Caenorhabditis elegans: one gene and its partner. The protein of the gene in region 2 interacts with the protein of the main gene of each other region in a pairwise test. Each region holds a gene or a part of one and is shown on either strand. Other genes may lie near its edges. The genes, in order: mau-8 and bath-30.

Region 1 (16,388 bases), on a different chromosome or scaffold from region 2:
AAAATTATTCCGTGATATTACATATTGCTGAAAAATATTTTTTGCATATTCAATAAGAACAATGCACTGGAAATTAATATCCTAATATACTTATGCTCGTTTGGAATACGAAGAATACGATATATTTTTTGCTATTAATCAGATGAAAAGAGCGTGAAAGCCTGCTCCAAGGACTTTCTGTTTGTACAATTCCAGATGATCCTCGCACATCCCTTACATGTGTTAGCTTATCATGTCCACTAAATATGAAGTGAATAGATATAAAATGAGTTCATGTAGAGTAATGTAAAATAGGTTAAATATAAGATGAGTAAATATGAGAACCTAGAGCATGGTGAAGCCGCATGATGGTCGTGTGTTCCCCAGCCTAGATTGACCAGTCTCCTCCTCTAAGAGATAGATTTCCGCAGGGAAGAGACATAGACGTGGAGAGGTTCCCACGAAGTGGGTGTGACTTCTCAGCCAGGGCTGAGCAGCCGCCCAAAAAAATCGGAAAATTTTTTTTTTTTATGGAAATTTTTTTTCGGCGATCGGCAATCGCCGATCGCTGAAACTTTTTTTTTTTCGGCGAAAATTGCCAAAAAAAAATCGGCGATCGCCGATTGCCGATTACCGATCAGTGTGCGTCTAATTTTTTTCAATTTTAAAATCCTAATTTTAAGAGCTCTTTCAAATAATTTTTTATAAAAACAGGAATATTAGGCAACGAAAAGCACTCCTTGATACCTTAAAATTCGAAAAGTAGTGAAAAATAGTCCGAAAATATACCTTTTTCCTACTTCAGAGGGGTATATCTTGGACTATAAAATTTCATCGGCGATCGCCGATCGCCGGAAAATCACGAAAATCGCCGATCGCCGATCGCCGATTGCCGCTCACCCCTGTTCTCAGCGTCGACAAGAGTTAATTTCGGGGCGCCTAGACTGGGTCGAACATCGACATGCTCACCATGGAAACCATAATTTTTTCTCTCTAAATTTCACTCCCAAGTTTCTATTTTTTTCTCATTTTATCAAAATTCCCATCGCTTTGTTTTCTCTTATTTTAGAAAATACTAGGAATCAGAGAAAAAACAGGAAGTAAAATGAATAACGCAAATAAAAACACTGTTGTATATAATTGAAAAAAAATCATAATTTGGTCACATTCATTTATTTCTAAAGTTTCTGTTCAAACATTTCATATAACGTTTTACTAAATGGCAGACGATTTTTTCCGACAAATTGGCAAACCGGCAAATTGCCGATTTGCCAAATTTGCCGGAAAAAACGGAATTTGCGGACAATTTTTAGCAAATTGTGGTTTTGCACACTTCTTTTTGGAAATTTCAGAATTTCAATTTCAATCGGCAAAATTATATGAATGTTCCTACATTTATTTCGAAAAGTAAGCAAATTCTATCAAAATATCTAAAGAAAGCGGGAAAAAAAATTCAACAAGGCACAGTTTTATGTGTTTCTGTCTTATAAAAAATCCCTCTAAACATTTCCGGCACATCTGATATCCGGCAAACGGCAAATCGGCACTTTGCCGAAATTGAAAATTTTCGGCAAATCGGAAAACCAACAATTTGTCCTTCTTTTTATTCTTTTTCAGTTCTGATCGTACATAATCCTTTGAATCAAAACCTTATCACAAAAAAAAGATGTATGAAATATTCCAGAACCAGTTGCAAATCGAGCACTTTCTCATCATTTCCGTGAGAAAACGATTGTTGCCAAGCTTCACTTCATTGCATACTCCCGAATGTCAAGCCATTTTTAGCCACTTTTTTCTTTTTGTTTTTTTACAATGAATTCCACAAAGAATCTTGTTCCAACTCCAATGATATATTCAACTATGGCATTATCAATTATAGGATTAATCGGGAATATGACTATTGTACTTGCCACTGTTATTAGTAAACGTCTCCAATCGAGATGTAATATATTAATTGGACTTTTGGCACTTTCTGATGTTGTAGTTTGTACTTATTTGGTGAGTTTTTAAAATATTCGAAATTTCAACTTTTTTTGAGCTTTTGTTTTATCCAAACGCAAAATTTTGACAAAATTGTGTTTGTCGTGTCAATCCCCGGTGCCATATTTTTGGCACAAAAGTTGCAAAATTTTGCTTCTGGGTTTGGTTTTATATGAGTATATCAGAAACCATTTTCTGCATTTTGTCGTCAACTCTGATCTCTCTAAAGCTAGAGTAAAAACTAGTCAAGAAATTGCCGTTTTTGTGGAAATTTGAATTTTTTTCAATTTAATTCAAAAATTAATTTACATACATTTTTCTGATTTTTAATTTTTTTTTTCAAAAAAAAATCGGAAAATTAAACAACATTGCGCGGGAAATGTGGTGTATTTGTGTGGTAAATCGCACTATCTGCAATTACCACCAATAAATAATATTTTACGATCGAAATATTTTTTTTTTCGAAAAAACAAAACTTAAAAATGCGTTTTCAGATTCATTTACGAGTTTTGATGTTCTTGGACATGTACATGTTGACTTCAACCCAGTGTTTCCTACTTTCTGCCTATGGTTTATTTGCTCTAAATATGCAAAGTTCATTGTGCCTTATTATAGGATTAGATAGACTTTATAATGTCACCTACCCTTTGCGGTAAGATACACAAAAAATCTCGCCACGAATAAAATATTTCGAATTTGAAGCCGATCAAAAAAAGGATGTACCTTTAATAATACAGTAACCGGTTTTCCCTTTTTGGTGTATTTTCTAAATAGTTCAAATGCTTACAGGTGGTGCCAGGCTGTCCCATTACGGTTTGATCTACAAAAAATGCGGGAATTTTTCGCCCAAAAAATATGACGTGAGCACGTTCTTAACCATGCGAAATCAGTTGAGAAGTCTGCGTCTCTTCTCCCGCATTTTTCGAAGATCTACGTAGATCAAACCAGACACTCTGACACCACGTGATGCTTCAATAAAATAAAGCTTTTGAGAAAAAAAAATTGAATGGGTTACTGTAACTCTTATAGGCGCACACTTACGCCGCCTCGAATTCGAAATTTCTTCGTTCGTGGCGAGACCAAAACTAATATATATCCCGTTCCTGCAGATATTCCCAACTTCCAAACTCATTTTACATTGCCCTTTTCCTTTTTTGCGTGGGATTTTCCGTTCTTATCACTTATTCCGGATATTCTTATGCTTCGGGTACATCAGAAAACCTAGAAACAGTGCTGTAATTAATTTTTATTTCCAGATTCAGAAATAGTTCTAGTATGCTTACCACCAACAGCTTATACCGATAAATCTAGAATTATATGGATTGGTTCGAATTTTATTATTGCAATTTTAGTCATTTTTGTGTATGGTGGTGCACAAATTCGTTGTCGGATTTTGAGAGGTTCGTTTTTTGCGTACTTAATACACCATAACTCACGCGCAATTTTTTCTCAAACGTGTGTAGTGTCAGAGTGTCTCATTTCGGCTCGATCTACGTAGATCTACAAAAAAATGCGGGAGAAGAGACACAGATTTCTCAACTCATTTCGCATGGTTAGAAACGTGCTGACGTCACATTTTTTTGGAGAAAAAAATTCCCGCATTTTTTGTAGATCAAACCGCAATGGGACAGCCTCACACCACGTGAAACAGCTCAATCCAAATCAACATTTTGAGCTTGATGTCTGCTATTCCCAAGTGCTTAAACTAGACTTTTTCAGCCCGTCACGTGCACGAACAATCTATGGATGCAGTGAATCGACTGCTTAAATCGTTGAGCATTGTTGTAACAATATATGTCTGCACGTGGTTTCTCACGATCAGTTCACTTGTTGTTTCTCAGGTACAATATTTGTTGGGAAATGTCTTCTGATTTCAGGCATAAACAATATAAAATATTACACGTAGTTCTAGCTAAAAAATACGCGAGTGCGCGTAAAATGTGATGCATTAGGTTGGTAAATCGCACAGCCACGCTATTACGGGAACACAAAACTCTGAGAATGCGTATTGCACAACATATTTGACGCGCAAAATATCTCGTAGCAAAAATACCCGCATTTTTTGAAGATCAAACCATGATGGAGCAGCCTGTCATCACGTGCAAAAGCGCTACAGTAGTCATTTAAAGAGTTACTGTAGTTTTCGCTACGAGATACTTTCCGCGTCAAGTATGTTGCACAATACGCATTCTCAGAATTTAGTGTTTCTGTAATATTTTGCAAAAACCATTGCGATGCATTCGATTTTACGCGCAAAGTTCAAAAATTGGGAAAACCAGAAATCAAATCATTATAATATAAATCGAATTCACTGAAATTGAATTTATAAACTCATTATTTTTACTCGACCAACTTTTCCCCAATTTTCAGTTGATTACCTTTTCACCGCCTGTCACCGCAGAAATTAATCGACAACTTGGCTGGCTGGTGATTATCAATGCTTCACTCAATTTCTTTGTTTATCTTTGGAGAAATTCAGAATATCGGTAAGGGAGTGTTGTATTATGGAGACGCAGAAAAATGCTATTGAGGTGCAAGAGCGCTCCAACGCTAAACGGGTCTCGTTAGGTGTTTGGCGGTAAAATCACGGATTTCTGGCTTCCCTCATAAATTGAAATGGAAGAGTTTGCCGATCTAGGCCATTTTGGCTCGGCCGTAGCCGGGGTAGATTTACGGCGCGTTGCGTGTCGCGTCGCGGTTCAATTTCAGTTGTAAAACTAAATGAATTTTTCCGTGTGGAGTACACGACTTTCCCACGTGTTATCCGTCAAGCGATTGTCAATGGAGCGCGAAAAATTCAATGGGGAAGGCCAGAACCCCGTGATTTCTGGTTTTTCCGCCAAACCTAACGAGACCCAACTCACCGTGGAGCGAGCTTGCACCTTGATTTAAACAAGAAACATTTTTTAAATCCGTTTTAAATGCAATTTTTTCAGAAAAGCATTCATCCGACTTTATGGACTTTCTCGACTCTTCAGCGTTGAAAATACCTCGATTGATGCTGCAACACGAGTAATGAAGTCTTCTCATGTTCGAGTTGCATAATATTTGTTTGTTTCAATAGTGAATTAATAAAACATTTTGAATTATCAGCAGGGGAGATCATTTGTTATGAACAGGAATCACACAGATGACTTGAAAAAAAAAGCATATCTACAGTACTACTTCAAAACAAAAAGAAGTGCATTTACATAACTGAAAATCTGAGTTCAGCGCCTTCTGCCTGCAATAGGCGACGCTTCTTCGCGATTCCCCAACGATATCCTGATAGATTTCCAGTGCTGCCGATCACACGATGACACGGAACAATGTAGGCCAAGTTGTTGCGAGCACATGCCGAGGCAACAGCTCTCACCGCCGACGGATTCCCGATTTCTCGAGCAATCTGTAAAGGGTTATTGTAAAATAAGCCATTATGAGTAATCTTAAAGGCGCAGGGGCTATTTCAGATGGGTCTCGGCACGCAAAAAGTTTATAGTATCCTTTTTTTCAATTAAATTTCTTTATTTTCAGCGAACTCTCATTTTTCAGGCCAAATAACAGGAACAACTTATATTTTTAATGAAAACAATTTTTCAAAATGAAACCATAAACTTTTTCTCGCCTAGACCCATCTGAATAAATCTGTGCGCCTTTAAGAAAGCATGGCTCACATCTGAATATGAGCGAGTTTCTCCTTTTGGGATTTTTTGAATGGCGCTGTAAACTTGCATTCCGAAAGCCGTGTCTCCTTTGTGTACCGCATTGACTTTGATCGTTGAATCAAGTGTATTCAGAGCTTGCACAATCTGAAAAGAGCCGCAATTGGATGCGCACACTTAAAATAATTAATATTTACACCGGAGCTTTGTGTTGGTTTTCCTGGAATGAAGTTAACTGTGGGATAGGCGTCATGAAGTTCCTCCATCTGATCGTCTAGATCATCATCAAGAAGATAAATCGCCACAACTTTCTGACTTCCAACACATTCAGCAATCAGAGCCTGTCAAAAGCCAGTTCAGAAATCTGGATCTCATTTTCCTCACCTGTCCCTGATCCGTCTCTACGACTTCATAGACGCACTCACGGATGATCATTTCTACTTTAATAAAATTGATGTTTTTATTCATTGGATTGCTTCTGACTTTCAGTATATAATGTTTCAAAACATGGATGTGAAGATGACCGGAAAACAATAACAATTTATTAACATACAATGATTTTAGTCGAAAAGACCGAATCCCATATCATCGTCGGATTCCTCCTTTGGCTCTTCTTTCTTGGCCGGCTTGCTGTCAGCGGCTGGGGCAGCTCCTCCGGCAGCTGGAGCAGCGGCGGCGGCTGGGGCGGCTCCTCCGGAAACCTGAAAAAGCACAATTTGAATTTTTCTTATTAAATTTGTGACCAACTTGGGCACGGTTTTTAAAAGCATGACAACAAATATATAGGCTTTTCACGCGGTTAAGCCAAGAAGACATGGAAACGGGAGTAAAAAGGATTCCTAGAAAAGGAGGTCTCCGAAAGAAATGTGTACTACGCTAATACAAGTCGAACACTTCGAAGTGTTGATGAACAAAATTTAATTTTCAAGCCGTCAAAGGCCTTTTTTTCTCAAAAATTTCCGAGTTAAGCATCGCTGAATTTTACCAGTGCAGTCAACTTTTTTAGGACTTCATAACATTGTTCGAGGAATTTCCATAAAGGTTGGATACGTACCGAAACGAGTCCAGCGGATCCCTCAGCGATGAGCTCTTCGACTGTCTTTCCTGCAAGTCTGGAGACAACGAGCTTGGCGGTCTCAGCATCAGCATCAACTCCGACAGCGCTCAAGATGTTCTTGAGGTCGTCAACCTGAAAGAACACAATTGAAATAAATGTTAAAATGTTTCAATTCCTTTTAAGAATTACCTTTGGGTTGGCATTTCCTCCGAGGACGGCGAGCAAGTAAGCCGAAACGTAACGCATATTACCTGCAAAACCATAACTTTAATTTTAAATATTTCCAGGAAAATCTGGCGATAAAAATCGAAAATTGAGTATTTGCAGATAGTTTCAGCATCATGATATGTCAAGTGAAGCGCAAATTTTTTCTGAATCGATTCAAGATAATTTTGTGAAGAAAAACGCGGAAATCGATGAGAAAAATCATAGGAAAAATCGCAAAAAAAGAAAAAATTCACTTGACCGAGAGGCTGGCCTACTGTCGAGGCGCGCGTGGCGAGACCCACTCGTCGCGAAATGTCGTGTCCCTTTAAACAGCCAACATTTGCAATGCATTGAAATTGCAGATTTTATATTATTTTCGAGGTTTTAAACTACTTTTCTTTAATTTTTCCGTATTAAACTGAGTCTGAATCAATATTTAGTGATAAATTTCAGCAAAGGCACCTTGTTTGGTTGCAGAAACAGCAAAACTGGTGAGTTTTCTTGCTGATAAATATTTCAAAAATGAAAATTCATTTCATTGTTTTTTCAGTCGGCAATCTTCAACTTCCAAAGTCTTATCTCAGTTATCCTTCTTCTCATTTGCACGTGTGCCTACATCAGAGCCTTTGCACCGAGAATAATCGATAGAAACAAGGAAGGGTGAGTGTTTTTTTTTTGTTGAAGACGCAGACTTTTCGTGGAGAAATCGAACATTCAAAGCATTTTCAGTCTCCTCGGCGTTTTCTGGAAGTGTGCTCGAATCGGTGAACGTCTCAGTCCGTGGGTATCGATCAGTTGCTTTTGCATGGCATTTGTTGTGCTGTTCCTTTAAAATAATGGCTATCCGCATGACTCCATCATCGAAACGATTCGATGAAAAAACAAACGAAATGAGGCGCCGTCCGCCTGTAAAACCAAGCAGTAATCCTAATCATATTTATATCACAAGGTGATTAATTTTTATCAATTTAGTTGTACAATTTCTCATTAAATAGTGTTTTTTTGCAGAAAAACCAACGTCGAATCACAATCAAAATCCACCGAGGAGATGTTGAATAACGCATTCGATGAAGTTTTCATCCATGGAATGGGAGCATCTATCAATAAAGCTCTAGTTTTTGCGATGGAAGTTGAGAGAAGATTCGGTGGAAGTGTCAAGTCTGATATTCAAACGTCTACTGTACAATGTACAGATGATATTGTATCACTTCTGGACCTTGATCAAAGCGAGACACGTCATCGTTCTGTTTCTGCCGTGCATGTTCATCTTTATCGTGTTGCCTCGTAAATCTTCATTCCACTGAATATATATTACACATAATTTTGTCAATGGGTCTTATTTTTTTGCCTACATGAATTAATTATTTTTTCCTTTGATTTTTTAGTTGTTCTTGGTTACTCTTTCCTATTATTTTCTACATTTTCAATCACCGAGTCGCCAAATTTTTCGATTTTTGCTCAAAAATTGCGGAATATTACGCGGAATCCGGTCTCGACACGACATTTTTTTTGTCAAATGTGAAAAGGTGTGCGCCTTCAAAAAGTACTGTAGGTTCAAACTTTCGTTGCTACGGAAAAATTTATTTATTTAATTATTTAAAAAAAAAACTAAAATTTTTAACAAAATCAGCATCAAAATTTTTAAAAATACAGTAATCTTCAAAGGCGCGCACCTGTTTACATTTATTAAAAATTTGTCGTGTCGAGACCTGATACAGTAAGCGAAATTTCGCGTCTGAATAATAAATTAATTTAAGATGTTCGGTAAAACATTACTACGAAGGATAGCCTGCTCGAATCTCAATTTAAAATCAAGAAAACTGTCCGGAAAGCCACGTTTAGCAATTGTGGGCTCCGGTCCCGCAGGTAATAATAGAACAATTTTCTGGAAATTTCGTAAACTATTTCCAAAAAAATTAAATTTAGGAATGTTCGCGTGCAACGGATTGCTTAGAAAAAGTAATTTCTCGGTAGATGTATTCGAAAATTCTCCAGTTCCATTTGGATTAGTTCGGTATGGTGTGGCTCCAGATCATCAGGAAGTGAGATTTATTCGAGAAAAAATTAAGAAAATCGGTTCTTTTGGCCACAATATTCAATTAAAAACGGAAAAATCAGGAAAAAATCTTCTCCGAATTGCATATTGGTGCCAAAATACCATTTTAACTAAAAATTATTGTGAAAATTTCAAAATTTCAGGTAAAAAACGTGATAAACACATTTGATGCAATGTTCGAAAAGAATCGTGAACGGCTGAAACTATTCTGCAATGTGAAGTAATTATTTAATTTCTCAATTATTGGAGGACTGTGTCGAGTTACGCAGCTCGTGTACTCCACGAGGAGAAGAATTTTACAGTTTTTATTTGCGAAATTCTTATAGAAAGTTTATTTTTAAAAAGTCAAACAAAAGTCAAAAAATTAAAGGAAAATTTTAAAGCCAAATTTATTAGATTTTTAAAATCTTATTCATATTTTTCAGTTCTTGCAATTAATCCAGATAAAAAACAATTAAATCCCACTTAAAATTGCATGTTTTCCTCAAATTTAGAAGCATGAAGGTTCGAAAATCTTTTTTTTTTTTTTTGAAAAAATCTCACAAAAAACCAAAATTTCCATATGAAAAGTTGGGAAAAATGTTTAAAAATCGACCTTTAGTTTCCAAAACTTGAAAATTCTTTAAAAAATTCAGTCTTCTCCTCGAGGAGTACACGAGCCGCGTAAATCGACACGTGGGGGGTTGTCAAGAGTGTCGGTTTTCGATTGTTTCAACAACAAACAACGGAAAATGCTCGATTTTTGAAAAATTGATTTTTTCGATTTTTCGATATTTCGAAAAAAAAATTTCGATTTTTAAAAACGTACACTACTTGTTAGCTTAAAACTTTGGACATTTTTCTTCTTTTTAGAGTAAATTTTAATATTTTTTCTCATCAATTTAAACGAAATTAGATTTTTAAAAAAATCATATTTTATGTTCAATTTTTCTAATTTTCTCAGAAAATTGTTCGTTTTTCGATTTTTAAAAATTCGAAATATCGAAAAAATATTTTTGAGACCCCAGGAAAACAGTATTCACATAAACTTGTAAAACTTTTTGTAAATCCTGTTTCTTGGGGTCTCAATTTTTCGATTTTCCCTCAAAAACTTCAAAAAATCGAAAAACGACACTCTTGGTGGTCGTGGAAGAGGTTTTCCACGGCCATTCTTGCATTTTCAAATACGAAAAATCATGCAATTTTTCAAATTTCATACTTTTTTTTCAGCATCGGACGAGACATTACATTTGATGAGTTAACACGTGGCTATGATGCAGTCCTTCTGGCATATGGATCATATAAAACACGAACTTTAGATATTCCTGGAAGTGATGCCTCAAATGTAATATCTGGATCAGAATTTGTTGGATGGTATAATGGAGTTCCAAATGCATCAACACCAGATCTTACAACATCAAATGTTGTAATTGTTGGAAATGGAAATGTTGCTCTTGATTGTGCACGTGTACTTTCAACAGCTTCTTCTGGATTATTAAGGATCAGTGATATTCCTGGAGATCGATTGAATGTTCTTGAAGGAGCTAATGTTAAAGATATCAAGATTTTAGGACGAAGGGGACCAGAACATGTGAGCATTCTGAAATTAAATTTTTTTTAAATATGTTAAAACAAAATTATCCACTTTTTATTGTTCCGCCTGAAATTGATCTGAAAATCTGAAAAAGAGAAAGAAAAAATCCCAAATTTTCATATTTGAAATTTCAAAAAAAAAAATTTCTGTAATAACATCGAAAATGTCCGATTTTCAAAGCTTTTAACGAATCTTTCTGATATTTCTTTTATTTTTTAATATTTTTTTACTTCGAAAATTTCTTGTTTTTCAAATTTTGTGTTAGAATACCCAAAAAACTGAACATTTTAGATTTTTAATTTTATAAAATTTCGAATTTTCTAAAATAAAATCTTTAAAAAATTACAAAAAGCGCAATTTTTTGTTTTTTTTTCCAATTTTTAATGTCAAAAATCCGAAAATGATGGTTCTTAATTTCAAGAAAAAAAAACAATTTTGTAGATTTTTCGAGAAAAAAATTTATTGAAAAAAAACATTTAAAAAATTTCCGATTTTTCTATTCCAAAAATCGAAAAAAAATGTTTTTAGGTATTTAAAAACCTTAACATTTTAATTTCTTTAATTTCATTTTTTTTTGATTTTTTGTCTATAGAATTTCAGCAAAAAAGGCTTTTTCAAAAATTTAATTTTTTGAATTTTTGGTTTTCTTAGCTTTTCGGAAAAAAACACTGAAAAATGTTTGATTTAAAAATGAAAAAATTCAGAAATTCCGATTTTCAAAAAAAAAAACCATAAAAATCGATATTCCGATTTTTCAGAAAAGCCTAACTTCCGCATCTATTTTCCCGATTTTTAGTTAAAAAATAATCAAATTTCGTATTTATTTTTTCAATTTCAAAAAACTAGCAATTTATTCATAAACATGAGCACATTTTGATTAAAATTGTTTTTTCTTAAATTGAAAAATATAGTTTTCAATTGAATTCCCCAAATATTCCCCGATGCAGATTTTGTCCCGATTTTTCGTCAAAAAAATTATTAAAAAATTCTTATTTCAATTTTGAAAAATTAGCAATTGTTGTTCGACTTATTGAAAAAAAATTATATTTAAAAAATAAGTTCAACAATATTTTTCGGTCTTTACAAAAAAATGTGATTCTTAATTTTTTTTTTTTTTGGAAAATCGAAAAATCTAGTTTTCAATTCTTCAAAATTCTCCAAATAATCCCTCCCGAGACAGATGCTCAGAATGACCCCTCTCCCCCTCATTTTATGCTTCCTTCCGTTCCATTTGAGCAACCAGACGTGGTTAATCGATTCTGCTGTCCCCCTAGGTTCTCTCCGTCTCCTTCAATGTATTCTCCTCACACATTTTATTCTCCAATTCCTTTCAGGTTTCTTTCACAATCAAGGAGCTCCGCGAGCAATTCAAAATTAAAGATTGGGACAGTAAACTGGAAATATCTGAAATTGACGCTAAAAATTTAACAGAAAGCTTACCGAAATTGGAGCGGAAGAAAAAACGATTGACCGAGGTATTTTTGAAAAAATAAATAATTTTTAGTTTAAAAAAATTCAATTTTCAGGTCCTCGTAAAAAACATTGGAATTGCAAATGGACTTCGACAATGTCACTTTATTTTCCATCGAATTCCAGAAAAAATTATTGCAGATTCGAATGGAAAAGTTCAAGAAATTATTGTAAAAAATAATGAAACTGGACAGGAAGAAACGTATCCATGTGGATTATTGATTTATTCAATTGGATATCAGACACTTGTTTTAGATGGAGTACCTCAGAATGATAAGGTATTGAGTGTGTGGAAATTTCGAGAAAAAAATTCATATGACTGAATTTTAACGTTTTTGCGAAGTTAGGAAAATCAAATTATTAGAAAAATGAAAAAAACATATTCTGGATTTTAGAAAAATCAGTAAATCTATCTCTATCAAGAAGCCGCCGAAAAAATGTCAAAAAAAGTGAAATTGTTGTCAATTTTACAGATTTCGTGTATAAAACTTAATAACCCGAGCGGAAATCGATAAAACTTTATAATTTCATATAAATTAAAAATTTTTCTTGCTGAAAATTGTCTGAAAATTTTGAAATTTCAAATCAGAAATCAGAGAAAAATCAAGAAGAGAGCAAAAATGTCGAAAAAAGTTCATTTACCATTTGAATTTTTAGAAAATTGAAGAAAAATCGTTCAATCAGTAAAAAACTACATTTTTTAAGAAAAAAAAATTCAAAAACCTCACGGCAATTTGCCGATTTGCCGGAAATTTTCAATTCCGGCAATTTGACGATTTGCCGATTTTTCAATTTGCCAGAAATATTAATCTTCGGCAAATTGCCGATTTGCCGGAAATTTTCAATTTCGTCAAATTACCTTTTGCCGATTTGCCGGAAATTTTTAATTCCGGCAGATTACTGATTTGCTGGAAATTTTCAATTCCTGCTATTTGCCGGTTTGCCGATTTGCCGAAAATTTGCAATTTGCCGGTTTGCCGGAATTTGACAATTCCGGCAATGTTCCGATTTGCCGGAATTGTTAATTTTCTCTAATTCGCCGGTTTGTCAGAATTTTCCAATTCCGGCAATTCGCCGGTTTGCCGGAATCGGTCATTTTCGCTAATTTGCCGATTTGCCCGAATTTTCCGATTCCGGCAATTCACCGATTTGCCGGAAATTTTCATTTTCGGCATATTTCCGATTTGCCGGAACTGTTCAATTAAGACCGTTTGCCGGTTTTCCGATTTGCCGGAAATTTTTATTTTCGGCAAATTGCCACTTTGCCGGAAATTTTCATTTTCGGCGATTTGTCGAAAATAAAAATTTCCGGCAATTTGCCGGTTTGCCGATTTCCGAAAATTTTAAATTCCGGAGATTTGCTGATTTGCCAGAAAATTTTTGGCAAATTGCCGGTTTCCTGGAATTTTTCAATTCCGGCAATGTGCCGATTTGCCGGAATTGTTAATCTTCGTCGATTTGCCGGTTTGTCGGAAATTTAAATTGGTTTAAATTATCTGGAAAACTATTATGACCCATAATTCCCGGATTCAAAAAAAAATCATAAAATCTCTGCAAATATATTTTTTTTATTTCAGAAAATGATAGACATGAAAGATCATTGCCGTGTAAATATGGTTGCTGCGTGTTCATCACAAGTGTATGCAACTGGATGGTGTGCTCATGGACCACATGGAATAATTGTAGACACTCAACAACAATCAATTTTTGTTGCCGATCAAATTGCCGCAGACTTTGCACAATTTAAAGATAGCACATCTAATGGAGTTGAAGAATTACTTGAAGATCGAAAAGTTCCATTTATATCATGGGATGAATGGAAACAAATTGATAGACAAGAACAAGACACTGGAAAGCTATCTGGAAAGATTCGAGAAAAGTTCACAACTTTTGAGAAATTTCTCACGAAATTGAAGAAATGCAATTAGAAAATGCCATAAATTATCGAGTTTTCTTTCACCCTTTTTTCCGGGTTTTACTGGAATTTCAGTACATTTTCTGTATTTAACTAGACACTTCTAGATAGAATAAATCTTTTTTTTTATTTTTTTATTGGATTTTTTTCCAGATTTTGGTCATTTTGCCAAATTTATTACCTTATTTGAATTATTTGATATTCTGATCCAAAAACAAATTGCATTTTAATGAGAAATTGGAAAATTCCCAGTAATTTTTGAATTTTTTTGATAAATATTTTAAAAATTTGCAAAAATATTTGAAAAAAGTATCAAATTTCTCATATATTTTCCAAAGAAAAAACAATTAATTTATAGAAAAGTCTGAAAAACGTTGAAAAAGGTAAAAATAGGAATTTAAAAATTATATAAAACGACCGATTTTTAATTGTTTTTTAAATTTTGATTAATTTGAAAAATTTAAAAAAAAACTTTTTTTTGGTATATATTTTTTTCAGATTTTGGCAATTCTGCCAAATTTATTACCTTTAATTTGTGTGATATTTCTCTAATTTTAAAAAAAGTTCCTTACGAAACTATCAGGAAATTTTACAAAAAATTTTAATTAATAAAATGCTTGAGAAGAAACTTTTTTAAAGAAATTTTCTCACCAGTAGTTTCAAATTTCTCATGATTTTTCTGAAGAAAAATTAAATCAAAATTTCTTTTTTTTTTTTCGAAAAAGATCAGAAATATAAATTTAAAAAAATATTTTTTCAGAAAACTCTAATGAATTTGGAATCACGAATTCTGGACGGAAAGCCTGCGGGTTACTGTAGCAGCTCAGAAGGTGAAGAGGACGATTTCAAAGTTGTAAACGATGAGGATGAGCATCAGGCGAATGTAATGAAGAGAATGGGACCATCTTCGAATACTGGAGCAAAAGGAGTGCTCAATGAGTTCAAAGCGTTCAGAGAACAGACTAGATTGTGAGACTATTTAAAAAATTCTTAAAAATTAAAAAAAAAATTTTGTAAATTTTCAGAGCTGTCGAATCAAAAAATCAGAAATTAATTGAGCAAGCGAAGAAAGGAATGATGATTGGATCGAAAGAAGAACGAGAAAAAGCACAACGAGAAGATGATGAAGATGAGGATTTTGAGATGACTTTGGAGGGATTAAAAGCGAAGAGACTTAGAGAAATGAGAAAAATTGCAGCAAATCGGGTTATTGAAATGACTGATAAGGTATAGGAACAATCAAAAAATACTTTTTTTTTTTTATTGTGAAAACTTTTGAAAACTTTTTAGAAAATATGGGAAAAAAAGAAAATTTCTCCAAAATGAATAAGAAAAATTGGCAAAAATTACCAGAAAACTGGAAAAAAAATTTTTTTTTCACTTTCCGAGTAAAAAATTAATTTCGAAAAAAAAAATACCAAAGATTTTCGATTTTTTTTCTAGAAAATTCAAAAGTCTCTCAATCTTTTTCTAGAAACATTTAAAAACTTGTCGAAATTTCAAAAAATCAAAATTTCTAAAAGTTTCGATATTTCCTTTTTTGATTTTTTAGAAAAAAACTTTTAAAATTATTTTTACAATTTTTAGTCGGAAATTTATTTTTTTTTAATTCGAAAAATTTCGTTATTTTTCAATTTTTTTCCACAATGACGTCGAGAAATTAATATTTTGATTTTATTTTTAAAAAATCAATTTTATTTTTAATAAAATAATAATTTTTTCTAATTTCTCGACATCGCCCCGTTGTCGTTAAAAATTCAAATATCGGCATTTTTCGAATTAAAAAAGTTGCTTTCTTTTCTTAAAAAAATCAAAAAAGGATATATCGAAACTTTTTCGATTTTTTCTCGAAAATTTAAAAAAAATCAGGTTTCCGTTTTTCGAGAAAAAAAAATTGCAAAATAATAGAAATTTTGATTTTTTTTTAAATTTCGACTAAAAATAAATAAAAAACGATTTTTTAACGGAAAATGATAAATAATGAAAACTAAAATTATTCAATTTTCCAAAAAAAATTAGCTTTTCTTCTTCATTTTATCGATTTCAAACATCCTTCAAAAATGCTCCAAGAAATTTCAGAAACAATATTCGGATGCCGTTGATGGAAGTTCATCATATCTTCTCTGTGTTCTAATATATGAGCCTGAATCCGATGAATGTGAATATTTGACACGAATCGTTAAGATTCTCGCCGCCGATTGTCCGAAAACCAAATTCGTTCGAGCGACAAGCACTCTTCTTGAAATGAGCAGAGCATTTGTATGTAATACGTTTCAGGGTCCCGACACGACAAATTTTTAGTTAAATGCGAAAAGGTCTTGCGCCTTTGAAGAGTACTGTAGTTTCAAACTTCCGAATTTTCAAAAGTTTTAAATTTTTTTTCGAAAGCACTATACACGTGATGTGAGAGTTTCTCATTTCGGCTTGATCTACGTAGATCTACAAAAATGCGGGAGAAAAGACGCAGAGTTCTCAACTGATTTCGCATGGTTAAGAACGTGCTGCCGTCA
Region 2 (16,388 bases):
AGTCGGATCTCTATAATTCTAGTTTTGCATTTAAAAAATTTAAGATTTTTCCACTTGTTATTATAAGAAAAAAATGAATCAATTAATTAATTATTCTTCGTTTTCTTTTTTCAGGTTCAGTCAGTTTCTTCAATATATTTAGAGCGTTCACAAATTACGCAGTCAATCTTCTATTTCTAAATATTTTCTATCTCCGATGCAGTCAAAATTCTAAAAACTGCTAATTCTTTTTGATTTATTACCCGATGGATGTAGTTTTACAGCTCGGAAATGAGTTCCGACTCAGATTCTGACTTTGGCAAAGAAGCTTCAAAAGCACCCAAACGAAGGATCACTGATTGCCTGTTTGATAGCGACGACGAAGTTCTTGAGTCACCGGGTAGGGAAGAACTCAGAAAGCGATTGCTTTCTGATTATGAGGATGTAGGATCAGTTACGATAGATACGCCAAAGCTAAAAAATCGGAATGTTCGCCTTCGTGGAGCAGGTCTTGAAGTGAAAGCAGGTCGGCCACAGAAAGGTGGCGATGATTATAACGATGTAAGAATTCTTCGTACTTTTTCTTTAAAATTTGAAAAATTCAGTATGGAAGAAGCGAAATGGAACAATTTCTTCGACTTGTCTCGGACGAGCCTTTTCTGTGGCACACAAAAGTTTCGGATTTTCACAGAAAAAAAGAGAAAGGGATGCCTGCGTGGGCCGAAATCGAGAGGACTTGCAATACGTTTATGGGAAAAGGAAGAACTCCAGGTAAAGGCATTATAAGTTAGCAATTTATGGACTTCGTTTTCAGGAAAAACTGCTGCTGCTCTTTTCAAAAAAATGGCTACAACCTAAAAATCTCATTTGACACGAATCCAAAAGGCTCCATCAGGATCCGCCGTGACACCAAAGAAAGATCTGTTCTGTTATGCCGAGTTGATGTCCTTTATGGATGAAGATATCACTCACAGAGCACCAACATGGTTCGTGGAAAAGACATTATAATATTATTTTCAACTTCAATTTTACAGTTCCTTTATCGTCGGAGCCGGACCTGATGTTGATGTTCATCCAACTGAGACGAGCTCTTCAAAAAAAAAGATCAGAAAAAAGAGCACAGAAAATCTAAAAGTGGCTATTCGAGGGAAGAAGCAATGGAAGATGCTCAATTTTTAATGAAGAAATTTATGAAGCAAGATGATGATGATGTCAAATGTGGAAGCCGAGTGTGCCAAGCTTTTGAGAAAAGTGTAGATGGTATATCTCACAGTGATGCCAGTTTGATGGAGTACCAAGTTCTGAAATTTATTGAAAACCTCAAGGCAAAAGAGAATCAAAACGCTGACAGCTTCCGCCCAACTAGCTCCTCCTTCATTTAATTCGCAGCCAATGAGTTATTATTCTGTTCCACACCCACAACACTATAATACTTATCCACAATGTCCTCAGTATCATCAAGACCCACCGTTTCCATATCCAAATATACCTTCGTCGTCTCAGTGTAATGCTTCTTCATCATCTTCATCTCAGAATTCTGATCTTCATGATTTGAGCCATTTTTCTTACAGTAGAGATTCAAACTCTTTGTATCAGTTAAAAAAAGAGTAGAATCGTATATTTTGCATATTATTTGCTTTTGTTATCACTTTCATTTTAAAAGTGTTATTTGTTTTGTTTTCTGTTGTGGCATAAATTGTAATTTTGAAATTTGCTTTCTATATCAATCAATATTATGGGAAAGGTACTGTAGAAAACTTGTTTTCAATTGGAATAATATCGGAGGACAGAAATTATTGTGAACACAAAAAAGGGAATGCGTATTGCACAACATATTTGACGCGGAAAATATCTCGGAGCGAAAACTACAGTAATTCTTCAAATGACTACTGTAGAGCTTGTGACGATTTACGGGCTCGGATTTCAAAATGAATTAAAAATTTATTTATCTATAGAATATCAAAATTAAGCAAAAAATGAGAAAATAATACGAAATGACGAAGTAAAATGGGATATTGCTGTCACTGTACAAAAATAAATTCATTCCGATTATAAAGCCCGTAAATCGACACAAGAGCTACAGTAGTCCATAAAAAAATCACTGTAGCTTTCGCTACAAAATATTTTGCACGTCAGATGGGCTGTGCAATACGCACTCTCAAAATTTTGTGCTCGCATAATATCACACTGCCTTTGAGATAGGAATAAAGCTGATTTTCAGATGGCACCTTCCAGTCGAGAAATCACGTCCCGTAAGAAGAAAAAGCTGGGAATCATTGTATGGAGAAAACAATAACCTGAAAAATGTTGAACCGTCTAATTTTCAGATTCCCATCATTATTCGCAGAAATTTTGCGCTTCTGAACAATAATGAAGCAAAGAAAGAAAAACTCTGCATCAATCGTACTACAAAGAAAATTGTTGATGTTCGAAATTTCAGAACTTTCCGTGACAATGTAGATGACTATCTGAGTGACGATGGAATGATGAAACTCCATCTAGGCATCACCATTTCAGTTTTCAAAAAATTGTTAACTCTCATCCGTCACGCGCAAAGGCATTTGAACATTCATAAAAATTTCTCACAGGTAACACCCAGAACGAGATATCCAAAATGCATGGTCTTTCCCAGCCGACAATCTCAAGAATTGTATGTGGAGTTATCGATGATCTAGTTCGGGTTTCTTCGGAATATATCAAGTTCCCAACAACTAGCGATGAGATTGAAACGATGACGAAAAAGTTTTATGAAAAGGAAGATTCGAATGGGGAGGAGAGACGAATGCCGTGCTACGGTATTGTCGACGGGAAGCATTGGAGATGCGAGCACCCTCCAAAGAGCGGAGCCCTGAATTACAACTATAAAGGGTTCTTCTCTTTCAATTCATTGATTGTGTCCGACTCGGATTACAGAATCCTTTTTGTGCAGATGTGTAAGAACGGATTGAATTCTGACGCACAACTGTACCAAAATGGTCCTCTTCCCAGGCTCTTGACCAAGGCAATTGAAAATGTCGGTTATCGTACTCTTCCTGATCCCAACGTCCTGATGCCACCATTCATCCTCGCGGATAATGGTTTCGGTCTCCACAAGTCGATGATGCAACCATATAGGCCAACCCAAATTGGTCTGAATCCAGAAGAGAATATCAGTTTCAATTTCAAGCTGAGCGGTACACGAGTTAAAGTCGAAAACGTTTTCGGAGTATTGACTTCGAAATTCCACATCTTCCAGCAAAATCTGAGGCTCGAGCCGAAAACGTCGCAGGCACTCATCATTGCTGTCTGTGTGGTCCACAACATCTCTGTCGGACCTCTCGAGGTCATTCCCGACGACCCAAATCGTCCAAAATTTAGAGATCCGTACAGAACTGCAGAGCAGCAGAGAACGGCTTTGAAGAAATACCTTCTTGATCTTTGATTTGAAATCTGGAATGAATACATTGTTAAAAGAAATGCTAATTTTTTTTATTTCAAAATTGAAGTGATTTTATTTCAAAAAACAATTTTTTATTATTTCGGGAAGATTCCATGGCTTTGAGCGGTTCCAAGAAGAGTGAAAAATCGCCGCTGCTCTCTGAAGCAATGAACTGCAATCAGACATCGAAGGGACCAGCCGATCACGGAGCCAACCTGCCATTGAGCTTCTGAAAATTAATATATTTGATTCAATTTATTGTACGAAATCGTTTTTACCCATATCTGTGAGCTAGCAAGCTAGCTAATCGTGATTAATTGTTGGGTATTCCTTCGCGTTCTCCACAAGCAAAATTCTTGTCTGCTCATCACAAATGATGTCGTCAGCATCGCTCTGATCTTGAAAATCCTGAAATTATAACATTCTAGAGGGTTTCTGATGAGAATAGTTATCTTATAACCAACACCAAATACGTTCTTCATTATGGCATCAGGCAGCTTTTCATATCCGCAGAAGAAGTGCTCGGCATCATGATCGGATGCTCTATTTGGGAAACGACCGATGTAGACACAAGCCATGTTGAGTGCCCGAGAGAGAGATTATCTGAAACATTTAAATGTTAACTAAACAGGAGTTTAGAAACTTTAAAACAACCTAACCTCCGTGATAACGTAGTTAGCTTCTCGAGTGAGCTTCTGTGATCCCGTTTGAGCATATTGAGCACACGCGTTGAGCATCTCGGACTGTTGAAGAGTGAGCTTGTTGATTGGGACGATTACTGAAAAGTTTTTTGAATTAAAATAAGTTTTTCTTCAAAATAAAACAGAATGAAACAAGAATCAAGTGGGTAAAATTGTAAAATGAAGTATTAGACATTTTCGCTAAATAACAGGCATTTTCGCTAATTTTGGCAGTAAAAACCTATAATTTTGGTAAAAATCGCTTGTATTCTGAAAGAAGAACTCAATATTTAATTTTTTATAACTGATTTTAAAGAGAAACAAACGAAATATATGAAAAAATCGAAAAAATCCCTGAAAAAGGCCTCCGCAATATCGATTGTTAAAGGGACACCGACTGTTCATCGAATGGGTCCCGCCGCGATTGTCCATTTCGAGCGCTTTTCGCGATTTTTTACTACTGTAAAAAAGTGTAGGAAAATGTCGAAAAATGTCGAAAAATTACGTCACAAATGTATTTAAATACATGTTTTTATTGTTACTTGAATAATGGGGTTATTCAAGTAGTGTCGGAAAATTAAAAAGTGTAGAAAAATTAAAAAGTGTAGAAAAATTACGTCACAACTGTATTAAAATACATAAAAACATGTATTTTAATACATTTGTGACGTCACAAATGTATTTAAATACATTTTGCTACATTACTTGAATAACCCCATAAGGCAAAATATGTATTTAAATACACTTTTTAATTTTCCGACATTACTTGAATAACCCCATTAGTGAAAAATCAATGGTTTTTACCATTAATAACCGGGAATCCGTACAAAACTTCGAGAAACTTCTGAAAATCGTCTACATCAATGTCGTAGAGGGGCACTTCGGCGAGTTTCGCCTCGTAGAAACCGCCGAGGAACAGGGATTCGAAGAAAGTTGAATGAAAGGCGAGGAACTGGAAATTATTTTGATTTTAACGTTAAAATATTCAATTTTTAAACCTTTTTCAGCAAATAAAATCGTTGTCCATTCACCAAAACCACAATATCCGAGTATTCCATCATTTTCTCGTCGAAATCCATTAATTTCGGTGTATAAAATCCAATTGATTTATTAATAAGCACGCGGGCTTCTACAGTGATACTTCCGGCTTCCATAAAGCTTGTTTCCAGCTCATTCCAGCTAATAAACTCGCTCCAGCCGTACGAGGAGTAGAATTTTCCAGAATCGTGTCCAAAACACATGTCTATCTTGCATTTTTGATCCCTGGTGTCGGAATAAACTGAAACAAGCTTCAGCTCAAGCTCCGAGAAGATCGACCACATTTCCTGGTCCTTGAGATTCGTACATCGGAGATAAATGCCGAGATTTCCGTTGTTTCGCTGAATTTGGAAGATCCTGAAAACATATTTTCACAATAAATTCATTTTTCTTGATTTTAATTACCACGGAACATTGAAATATTCCTCCACTGTGCCGAATCTCATATCATTGTCATTCATATTTGATACATCGTTAAATACACAACGGAGCACAAATTCTTTGCCGGTGACTTGGCTTCGGCTCATTTTCAGCCTGAAATTAAGTTTAAAATTTTGTTAAATTTCAAATTAAAATTAGATGAAAAACATTGAAAAAAAACGCGGAAAATGAAGCGAAATTCAAATTCAAAAAATAGATTTTCGAAAACTTGTTTCACTGACTACGGTAGATTTTTGTTTCTGCAAAGTGTTTGCGTCCTTCACACTTCACTCCACGCGCAATTCTCGCACTACGGTATTTTTATTTATAAAATTTTTTAACTGGTTTTTTTTTTCATTTTCCGATTAAAGCTATCGTTTTTTGGCCGAATTTTTATTGCGAAACGTTTTAAAACCTGACATTTATTCCTTAAAAATACGTTTATAATCTATTTTTTCTTCAGGAAAATGACCGAACTGGATAAGTTCGAACTTTGGCCCGAGTTGCCGTCGGATTTCAAACTTCAATGCATTCAAAAAATGGATTTCGAAACGAGGTTATCTAAATTTCACCAAATAACTTATTAAAAATTATATTCAGATTTAACCTGCGATACACTTCCAGCGAAGAGATGCGCCTCGTGGACTCCCAGAAGATCTCATTTGAATTGATGAAAATCAATTGGAATTTCATTTATTTCGAAGTAACGTTTACTGGAAAGCTAGAAGCTGATCTACACGTTGACGGGTGGTGCAGTGAACGTAAACTGCTCCCACGTCTTCTCTTCGCTTTAAAAGTTGGAAAAATTCAACAACTTCACATCTGGAATACCACCGAACGGCTTCTAAACGAAACACTTTCTCCATTTACGGGATCGATTTCATTGAATGTCAAAAACCTTCATCTCGGCTTGGAGAGCAACAACGATATTCTATTCTTTTTGGAAAAATGTGACAAGAAACAACTGAATACTATTGAAACTGACCAAAGGGACAACGATATGATATGAAAGAAATGAATATGATATGAATGATATGAAAGAGCTTGTCGAAGCATTAATTGTTAGTTCGACAAGCGATTTCCATTGTATTTGCAAATAATAATTATTATCATTTAGGTCTCCAACTACAAAAATGTGGCTTTCTCTAAATGGTACTATCCCGTCAACCCAGAAAATATGGATTTACTCGTGAACTATCAGATTGAGGTTTGTTTCAACAATTTGCGAACAAGGCCAACAAATATTACTTTCAGAGTTTGATTTCGAATAATGCAACAATTGGAATAAATTATCGATTCAAAAAATGGGATGCCGATCAATGTATGGATATGATGAGCACAAATTTCAAAGATCGTGTTGTGTGAGTGTTCCCTGATGCCGAACATTAAAATGACTGATTTTTTACAGCCATTTCAAGAAAAACGACGAATTGAGACTTCAAACTAATAATCCTGCCAAACACATTCTTCTCACAAAATGCGATCGATATTCAAAGGCGTGGGGAATTTTGTGTCAAGTCATTCCTTCGGATCTTCACGAAACTGGATTTGTTGCCGTGTGGCCAGGCTGGAATGATAACGACCCCGATGCGGATAGAGAGCCGATCAGAAATTATGATGAATGGGATGACTGGTATGACTCGAACAGCTATCATTCACTATTTTCTTAAGAAGAATGGCTATGGTTACCTGATTAATTAATCTTGTTATTGTTTTGAATTATTGTTTTCCATTAAAGCATCATTTGTTATCTCGTTAATTTTTCTTCGAAATACTGTTTCACTTCAGCTCTTTTGTACCTTCAAAAATCGATTTATGGTGCGTCCATAGTCTGCGGAAAACGGGAATTTCCCGCGTGCGGAAGCGTCTGCGGAAAAAACAAGGAGTTTCTCGCTTTGTTATTGGTCAATTTCAAAATAGTGAGCGTGTTCAACCAATTAGAGGCTGTAAAATTTTAAACTGAGCAATGGGAAAACAAGAAACAACAGCTGATTGGTTTGCCACGCCTACTTTTTTGAATTTTGAGGAAAAAAAAGCGAGGAACTCCGGTTTTTCCGCAGACTATGGACGCTTCCGCACGCGGGAAATTCCCGTTTTCCGCAGACTATGGACGCACCATTAGAGTTTTCCAAATCCGAAATTGAGAAGACTACGGTAGAACGCAATGTCCGCAAAGTGTTCGCACACAATGTATCACATCTCACGCGCACTTCTAGAAGTTTCGTAGAGTACGGTACATTGACTATTTTTCACCTTTTTCTTCAGAATCCTGGTTGAAAATTGTGCGAAAACGTTATTTTTTTTGCTTTTATTGTTATTCTAAAAACACCAATTAATTATAAATTATTGATTTTCCAGTAAAATGGGCGAACCGGAGTACGAAACGAATTGGTGTGATTTGCCGCCGGAATTCAAACTTCAATGCATTCAAAAAATGGATTTCGAGACGAGGTAAGTCACTTTCCTAATTGAAAATCTTGTAAATTTCTATTCTTTTAATAATTTTCAGATTCAACCTCCGCTACACTGCCAGTGAAGAAAAAAATCTCGTGGGCTCTGAGAAGCTTCACTTTTATCAAGTATATTTCGAAATCTTAGGATATTCGAAAAGTCTTGTAGCTACATTTCTTGACAAGGAGAATGCTCAATTGGATGTGTGCGACACCGAATCTGTTGTCAAAAGCCATGTTATTCCACGTCTTCTCTATGCTGTCAATGTCGGAACCATGCAGAAGCTCTACATCCAAACAGACTCAGACAAAGGAATCAACGAAGTGCTCGCCCCGTTATAGGAACCAAAAATCTTTGAATGTCAAGTTCTTGAAGCTCGATTCGAATAACACAAGCGAAATGCTTTATGTTCTGAACAAGTGCAATGGGCTCGAATCTGTCGAGATTATTCACTACAACAACGAAACGACTGATATGAAGGAGCTTGTCGAAAATCCAATTGTAGGTCGTTCCAGTTTCCAACGAAATTTCACCTGTAAAATGTTTCAGATTGTGAACTGCAAGCAGGTGACAATCTCAACAGTTGGCGGCATGTACGGCTCACGTGAATTGCTTATGAACTTTCAAATTGAGGTATCGTTAATTGGTTCTTGATGGAAAAATTAATAAAAATCAAAATCACTTTCAGCGGCTCATCTCGGGTGATTCTGCAATTGGAACTCGTTTCCGACAAGGATCGTACGAACCTGACCACGTAATGTCGTTGGTCAATAGTTGTTTCAAAGACCGTGTTGTGTGAGTCTTCCATTAGTGCAACAGTTTATATATTATTTTCTATTTTACAGAAATTTCCAAGACCATCAAGGATTGAGACTTCGCACCGACAACCTTGCCAAGCAAATTCTTGTCAAGAAGTGTTGCAGGGACGATTTCGAATTCGAATGGGGAGTCTCGTGTCGAGTTATTCCGTCGAATCTTCAAGATATCGATTTTGAGGAAGATTGGCCGATCTGGACTGACATCGATTCAGATGAAGATTGCGACTATTCTTCTGACGACGAATATGAATATCAATACAACTCAGATTCTGACTGATTTGGATTTTTCTAATTTTGTTGTTGTTATTTTGTTTTCTTTTGTTGATTTGTTGAATAAAGTTGTTGTGTTGAAGTACTTTATGAAAGTGAAAACGGCCAGTAAAATTTTGGTTGGGCTTATTGGGACGAATAGAGCTTTTACACGAACATTTTACGTTGTTTTTCACATAAAAAAGTGTAATTTTAATTTTAAAAATCAACTACCGCAGTGCGAGAAATGCGCGTGAAATCCAGTGTGTAGGACGCAAACACTATGCAGAAACGAAAATCTACCGTAGTCAGTGAAACAAGTTTTCGAAAATCTATTTTTTGAATTTCCATTTCGCTTCGTTTTCCTTTGTTTTCAATAGTTTTCTATTTAATTAATTGTTAAAACTTAACAAAATCATATTGTAAAACAAAAATGCTCTGTTTCGCACCATTTAAATACCAATTTCAGACTGAAAATGAGCCGAAGCTCAGTCACTGGCAAGGAGTTCGTGATCCGTTATGTATTTAACGATGTATCAAATATGAATGAAAATGATATGAGAATCAGCACAGTGGAGGAATATTTCAATGTTCCGTGGTAATTAAATTCAAGAAAAAATTAATTTATTGTGAAAATATGTTTTCAGGATCTTCCAAATTCAGCGAAACAACGGAAATCTCGGCATTTATCTCCGATGTAGGAAACTTAAAGGCCAGGAAATGTGGTCAATGTTCACGGAGCTTGAGCTGAAGCTTATTTCAGTCTACTCTGACACCAGGGATCAAAAATGCAAGACAGACATGTGTTTTGGACACGATTCTGGAAAATTCTACTCCTCGTACGGCTGGAGCGAGTTTATTAGCTGGAATGAGCTGGAAACAAGCTTTATGGATGCTGGAAGTATCACTGTAGAAGCCCGTGTAATTATTAATAAATCAATTGGATTTTATACGCCGAAATTAATGAATTTCGATGAGAAAAAGAAAGAATACTCGGATATTGTGGTTTTGGTGGATGGACAGCGATTTTATTTGCTGAAAAAAGTTCAAAAATTGAATATTTTAACGTTAAAATCAAAATAATTTCCAGTTCCTCGCCTTTCATTCAACTTTCTTCGAATCCCTGTTCCTCGGCGGTTTCTACGAGGCGAAACTTACCGAAGTGCCTCTCTACGACATTGATGTAGACGATTTTCAGAAATTTCTCGAAGTTTTGTACGGATTTCCGGTTATTAATGGTAAAAACTATTGATTTTTCACTGAAATAATAGTTTTTTTCAGATAATACTGTTGAAGGAATCCTTTTGCTGGCTGATATGTACCAAACGCCGCTTGTCTCCGAGCTTTGCGAGGATTTTCTCATTCAAACCACCGGAAAAACCTACAAGAAGAAGCTACAAATGGCGATAAAGTTTAATTTGGAGAATTTGAAACAATTCTGCATTTCAATGATCAAATCTCCCTTCGATCTTCGTTCTATGATCCCATCGGACATTTCCAGCATCGATCACTCTACGTTGGCGGCTCTTTTCACAAAATCACTCACTTTAATGAAATAATATGTATTTTATCAAACAAAATCCATTTTACTCGCTTCAGATGTGCCATTTAATAAATTCTAGTGCTTCTTAATTTTTTTGTTGGCTTTTATCTCGTTTTATTAAACGGTTTTTTAGTTGAATATCAAAAAAAAACTATTTAATCTGACTACGGTAGACGGTGAAGTACGCAATACACAACTGCGTACCTGGCATTTAATTTGACGATTAGTGTGAGCAAGTTTTCCGATAATTTGTTGTTTTTTGAGTTCTTTTTCATTTTTCGCGAATTTCAAAGAATTTTTCAATGAAATTGTACACTTTAATTCACTTATTTTTCAGAAAACTACAAATTTCAACCAAATCGCTCGGAAAATGGCGGATAAATTGGCGAACGTGTTGGATTCGATTAAAATGTTCGTTTTTTTCACCGCTCACCGGTGAAAAATTTTCCAAACAGTTTTTAAACTAAAATTTGTCTTAATTTCAGCTCCTCCGCGCCAACGCTGATTCCTGACAATCTGGATCCGATCAATAGTTCCGACGATTCTTCGCTATCCGATTTGTCGATGGAAACGGCGCCGGAAACATTCTTGTATGTAAATATCCATTTAAAAAAATCAATATTATACCTAAATTCTTGTAATTTCAGCTCAGAACCTCCAACTCTGTCGGATATGTCAATGGAAGTGCTCGGCAAAATTGTGGAAAATCTGGATCCATTCAATCGGTACAATCAAATACTATGGATTTTTATAGAATCAATAGTAATTTCAGACTTTCCGTCCGCAAAGTGTGCCGTAAACTGCGCGATGCCATCGATTCCACCGATCCAGGCTTCAAGACCGTCGAGGTTCGCGTCACTGATGATATGTGCTTGCTTTGGGCGAATAGTCAGTCTTCTTTCTACAGTATGACGGTTTCTGGAGGCATAATTAAAGGCACAAAGCGTTCGGAAAAATCTGAGTTTACTTCTTTGAATGGACTTTTGGATGAGCTTGCTGTGGTGCTGAAGAATCCTAGACTTCAGCTGGACAAGCTCGTGATCTACGCTACCATGGAACAAGGAAATATTGTGAAGTGGTTCGAAGCAAGCAACCCGATTCACACAAAAATGCTCAAGCTATCCGGATTCGAGCTCAGCGATTTCATTTTCCTCCTGTCCCGCTTCAAACCAGGTGTTCTTGAGGAAATCGATATTTCGTGGTACTTGCATCTCGCGAACACGCCATTCACACGAAATTATCGATTAACTGACTTATTCGAGATGGAACAGTGGAAGCAGGCAAAATCGATTATCTGAAAATTATCTATATGTTATTTCAGATCATCATGAATATTCCTCACTTCAAAAGCGGCGTAATTTGGGCTCATCAATCAATTCAACCGGAAGTTGCGAGAGTTTTCGTCCCAGTCTACGATTTTGGTTATCTTCGTACTTCTGATATTAAGGAGTTCCACGGCGATGAATTCCTTTTGACAATCTGCAAAGAGTTTTTTAAAGTCGAAAAGAAAAATTGTTAATCTTAACCTTGTTATTTTGTTAATTCTTGAGTGAAAATTAATACTCTTTGTTGTTAAAAATTGTAGAAATATTTATATTAAAATACTATTGTTTAATTCGATGAGATATATTTTTCTGCGTTATTTTTAAAGTTAATATCAGTTTTCCAGGCTTTTCCTCATAAGAACCAAAAAAAGTTCTGCGATTTTTAATCGGAAAAATTGAATTTTTAGCTAAAAACCATTATTTTTCAGATCTCCGTCACAAAATGAGCAATTCAAAAAAGGAATTCGTCCTGCGATTCAATTTAAAAAAAACCTGGCTCATGAAGAAAACAGAGCATTATACTAGTGAAGAGGAGGATCATTTCGGTATTAAATGGTTGGAATTTCCCCTAAAAATCGATTTTTAACGAATTTATTTCCAGGTGGCTGCGCGTAACTCGTGATGATCAATTTCTCTACGTAGATTTGGGAAAAAGTGGAACGGGATCCACTAATTTTCATGGAAACTTCAATGTTCGTGTCGAATCGGATCATGGAGTAATTTCAGAGAATTTCAAGTTTTCTGGAAGCAAAAGCGATGCTGAAATGTAGTTTTTTTTTGCGGAAAATCTATAAAAATAGCTGATTTTCCAAATTTTCAGACCGTCAACTTCCAATCGTTGCGAATCTTTCAAATGGAGCAATTTGGATTATTCAAAATACCTTTCCATCGAAGGACACGTGGAAATTATCGATATGACCGGCTATCATGATTTCCAGAAGCGTGTGGATTTCGGTAGTGACGTCACTAGACGGTTCGCTGATACAGTGCTTATTGTGAGAGGACAGAGGTTTTATGTTCTGAAACAGGTATCGATTTACTCCAATTAATCGAAAAAAAATTGTTTTTTTTCAGCACCTCGCTCTGCATTCTCCATATTTTAAAAATCTCCTCAAAGAATGTACATTGGATTCAGAAATTCAACTTCCCGATGTGGATACAGATGATTTTCAGAAATATCTGGAAATTTTGTACGGATTTTCTACTATTCATGGTGTGATTTGCAGAAAAATCGCAAAAAATCTATAATTTTCCCCCAATTTTCAGATAATTTCGTCGAAGGAATCCTGCTTCTCGGTAAATTTTTCGAGACGGAGAGAATTATTACGGCTTGCGAGAACTTTTTAATCGATAAATCGAGCAAATCAATAAGAAAATTGTTCGAGTTATCTAATAAATTCCATTTGAAGAAGCTTAATGTTAGTAATTTCTATGGGATTTTCAATGAAAAATCGATATTTTCAGAAGAATTGCGTTGAAAACATCAAAACATCGACGGCTCTTCGTCTCATGCTTCCACCGGACGTTCTCACCATTCATCATACTGCAATAGTCGAGCTTTTCCGAAGATCTTTGCAATTTCATTGATTTTTTCCCTCGATTTTTAAATGTATATTCCAATGTTTTAATGAATGATCACTCTTCGACATTACAGAGAAATTTGAACTACTAGAAGCTTGGAATTTGAATTTTTGTCGGAAAAAAAGCAAGTTTATCCGAAAATATCAGGAAAAAACTTTCAATTTCAAAGCAAAAAATCCACCGTACTCCAAGAATTGCGCGTCAAATATAGTGACTGTAACGTACACACTGCACATTCGGGAATCTACCGTAGTAAAAAACATTTTTTTCCGTTTTTTTTTTGCAATTCTCAATAACTGAAAGTTCTTTCAGCGATCCTCCGCAAAAATGACTGAAAAGCAAGATTTGATGTCTGAATTTCAAAAACTTCGCCAGGAATCTTCAAAAAGTCATTCTTCACTCACGGCTAGTTATATTCGGATTGATTTAAATTTAAATTCTTCATTTTTTACAGACTTCGCCATTAGAATATCGATTGATTGAAGTTCAAAAATGTTGCGAGAAGATTTCAAAGCGACAAGATGCTCAGGACGAGATTAACACTTCAATTCTCGACGAGCTCCACAAAATTCAAAAGAATCAGAAAAAATTGCTGGAAGAAGTTGGAGCTATTCGAAAGGAAGTGGATTCTATGAAAGCAACTACTGTAAAGGAAAATGAAGTGAAAGATGACAGAAAACTATCGCTAAATGAGATGCTACGTAAAAGATGTCTTCAAGTAAAGAATACAAAGATGAAAAATTCTTCCATGCCAAAGTTCCAGTATTTTGTTCGATTAAATGGAAAAACTCGCACTCTTAACGTTAATGCTTCGGATACAGTTGAGCAAGGAAAAATGCAATTATGTCATAATGCTAGGAGTACACGGATGAGCTACGGAGGTAGGAAATTATTCTTTAAAAAAATTAAATAAGTATGTTCACCATTTGTTATTCAGGAAAGCCGCTCTCCGATCAGATCACTTTTGGCGAGTACAACATCAGCAACAATTCGACGATGGATCTGCATTTTCGTATATAGTTTTTCTGATTTAATTCGTCGACAGTTTGTTTTTTTCTGTATCTGTTAATTTTTTCAAGATAATAAATTTCAAAAAATATGCAATTCAGTTAGTAACGAAAAAAACAAAAAGCCGGGCATAAAATCAATTTTTCATTCAAAATAAAATATAGCACAAGAGAGTCCTAAGCCGTTCCACTTCCCGATCCTCCATCACCACCATCATCGCGAGGCTCTCTGAAAAATTGGCAAATTTATGAAACTTTTAGTACGAAAACTGTTACCTTTTGTGGAGCAGGACCGGCTTCACGTCGACTTCAGCAGCTTGACGAGCTTCAGCGAGTTGACGGGTGCGCGAGCGCGTCAAGATTGGCGAGCGAGGAGCGATCGGAGCTGGAGCCACTGGCACCGGTGCTGGAGCTGGATTTCAGGGGAGCCTGGAAAACAAAATTTCAAATTTTTAACGAAAAGTAGTACATGTAATTTTATTTTAAAAAAAGCCTCGAAACTTAAAGAAAATGCAGTTTTTTTCAACAAAAAATGGCTAAAGCTTATAATTTGAGTTTTCAAAATCAAAATCAAAAGTCAAATAAACCAGAAAAATATGCCATCTTAACCGTAAAGTTATTTTAAAAATTGCAGAAAATGCACCAAAAGCTCAGCTGTTTTTTCCTCAAAAATTCAAAAGTACGGGAAAAATACATACTTACCAGTGGAAGCCCTTGACGTGCAGCCGCTTCTCTATCCAGCCTTCTTTGCCTCATCACCTCGTTCATATGTGCGGCATTTCTCCGATCTCTTCGCTTCTGGGCAGTTTCAAACATGGTGAACACCAAGTTGAGCTGAAAAATGCAATGAGTAAGTAAAAAAGAGCATAGTATTGACTAGAAGCGAATAGTTCAGAGAAAAGATGCTAAACGATCAAATACAAATAAAAATTAAAAGCACAGGCACAAATAAACTAAATAAATTAGCAAAATTCTGGAAAAAAGCTAATGCGGCAAAACACATATCGATTGAAGACATCACCCAAGACGGCCGATGAGAGACACCAGAGAAAAAGAGGGAAGTGTCCCTATCCCCGTAACAAGATGAGAAGAACGCACCGTGCGCACTGTGCACTGTGAACAAATCCTAGGGAAAATCGGATTGGGGTAAACTTTTTCAGAGGGTGAATCCATGGGATGTTATAGGAGGACATTGCCATTATGATACAGAAGTTTTCAATTTCCAAATAGCATTTAACGGATTTGTATACCTAGAATTTCTTAAAGTGAAGATGGCTCGGTTCATTTTTTTTGATTAATCTTTTTGTACAACTGTCATAACGAAAAAAAAAATCGAATTACCTACATAACTGTAGTTTGCTTCCTTGATATAAATTTTGACAACTCATAGTCGAAAAACGAACCGAGCCATCTGAATTTTAAGAAATTTCAGGCATGAAAAATTAGATGTACCCATGGAAATGAAACTTTTCTCCATTTTCTAGAAAAACCATTTTTTCAATCACAAACACCCAAATTTTTTGAAACTTCATATATTTATTCATTTAGGTCTGAACAGTAGATAAATACAAAAAATTGATTTTTGATTTATTACGATTGAAACCGTGATGGAATAAAAGCAGAATAGTATACAGACAGAGAAAATAAATACGTAATACATAGGAAGAATAAACAAAAAGATACGAATAAATTACAAAAAATCTATACTAACCGTTCAAAGTTTGGCTCAAATTCCGGTAAAAAAATTGAAAATTAGCATCAGAAAAATTGCTTTTGAAATATTGGAAAAGCTAGCTGCTCAGATGAATCAAATTTAAATTAGAAAATACCAAATAAAGAATGTACGAAAGTTAATTTTAAAAAATGCAGAATTTAACAA

What was found.
Region 1: the proteins of bath-30 (region 2) and mau-8 interact in a two-hybrid assay, tested with the Caenorhabditis elegans proteins (one large-scale study listed by BioGRID).

Annotation. Positions count from the first base shown.
Region 1 is NC_003282.8:13,363,378-13,379,765, forward strand, and holds the start of mau-8 (Phosducin domain-containing protein), read left to right. Parts: upstream 1-14,638; 5' UTR 14,639-14,647; coding exon 14,648-14,847; intron 14,848-14,903; coding exon 14,904-15,105; intron 15,106-15,957; coding exon 15,958-16,137; intron 16,138-16,388. Other genes in the region: srsx-25 (G-protein coupled receptors family 1 profile domain-containing protein), read left to right, coding at 1,792-1,977, 2,454-2,611, 3,069-3,166, 3,216-3,359, 3,679-3,800, 4,330-4,445, 4,896-5,004; agt-1 (Methylated-DNA--protein-cysteine methyltransferase), read right to left, coding at 5,147-5,344, 5,613-5,747, 5,798-5,941, 5,985-6,035; rplp-2.2 (Large ribosomal subunit protein P2), read right to left, coding at 6,161-6,301, 6,655-6,789, 6,847-6,903; popl-7 (Protein kish), read left to right, coding at 7,332-7,355, 7,415-7,524, 7,594-7,696; Y62E10A.24 (Ribonuclease P protein subunit p20), read left to right, coding at 7,701-7,813, 7,873-8,152; Y62E10A.6 (NADPH:adrenodoxin oxidoreductase, mitochondrial), read left to right, coding at 8,622-8,730, 8,791-8,906, 9,064-9,140, 10,130-10,490, 11,828-11,968, 12,020-12,241, 13,541-13,891.
Region 2 is NC_003280.10:3,339,513-3,355,900, reverse strand, and holds bath-30 (BTB domain-containing protein), read left to right. Parts: upstream 1-9,522; 5' UTR 9,523-9,529; coding exon 9,530-9,651; intron 9,652-9,700; coding exon 9,701-10,097; intron 10,098-10,143; coding exon 10,144-10,291; intron 10,292-10,334; coding exon 10,335-10,612; 3' UTR 10,613-10,683; downstream 10,684-16,388. Other genes in the region: bath-29 (BTB domain-containing protein), read right to left, coding at 4,882-5,029, 5,076-5,472, 5,521-5,642; F14D2.8 (F-box domain-containing protein), read left to right, coding at 6,561-6,596, 6,653-6,742, 6,790-6,896, 6,944-7,168, 7,894-7,986, 8,045-8,327; F14D2.14 (FBA_2 domain-containing protein), read left to right, coding at 8,386-8,487, 8,536-8,619, 8,675-8,781, 8,832-9,081; bath-28 (F-box domain-containing protein), read left to right, coding at 10,967-11,007, 11,082-11,186, 11,244-11,321, 11,369-11,876, 11,918-12,115; F14D2.15 (BTB domain-containing protein), read left to right, coding at 12,364-12,476, 12,523-12,687, 12,742-12,949, 12,996-13,134, 13,188-13,339, 13,386-13,508; F14D2.11 (Ubiquitin-like domain-containing protein), read left to right, coding at 13,830-13,907, 13,957-14,383, 14,440-14,522; F14D2.5 (BZIP domain-containing protein), read right to left, coding at 14,837-14,938, 15,212-15,325.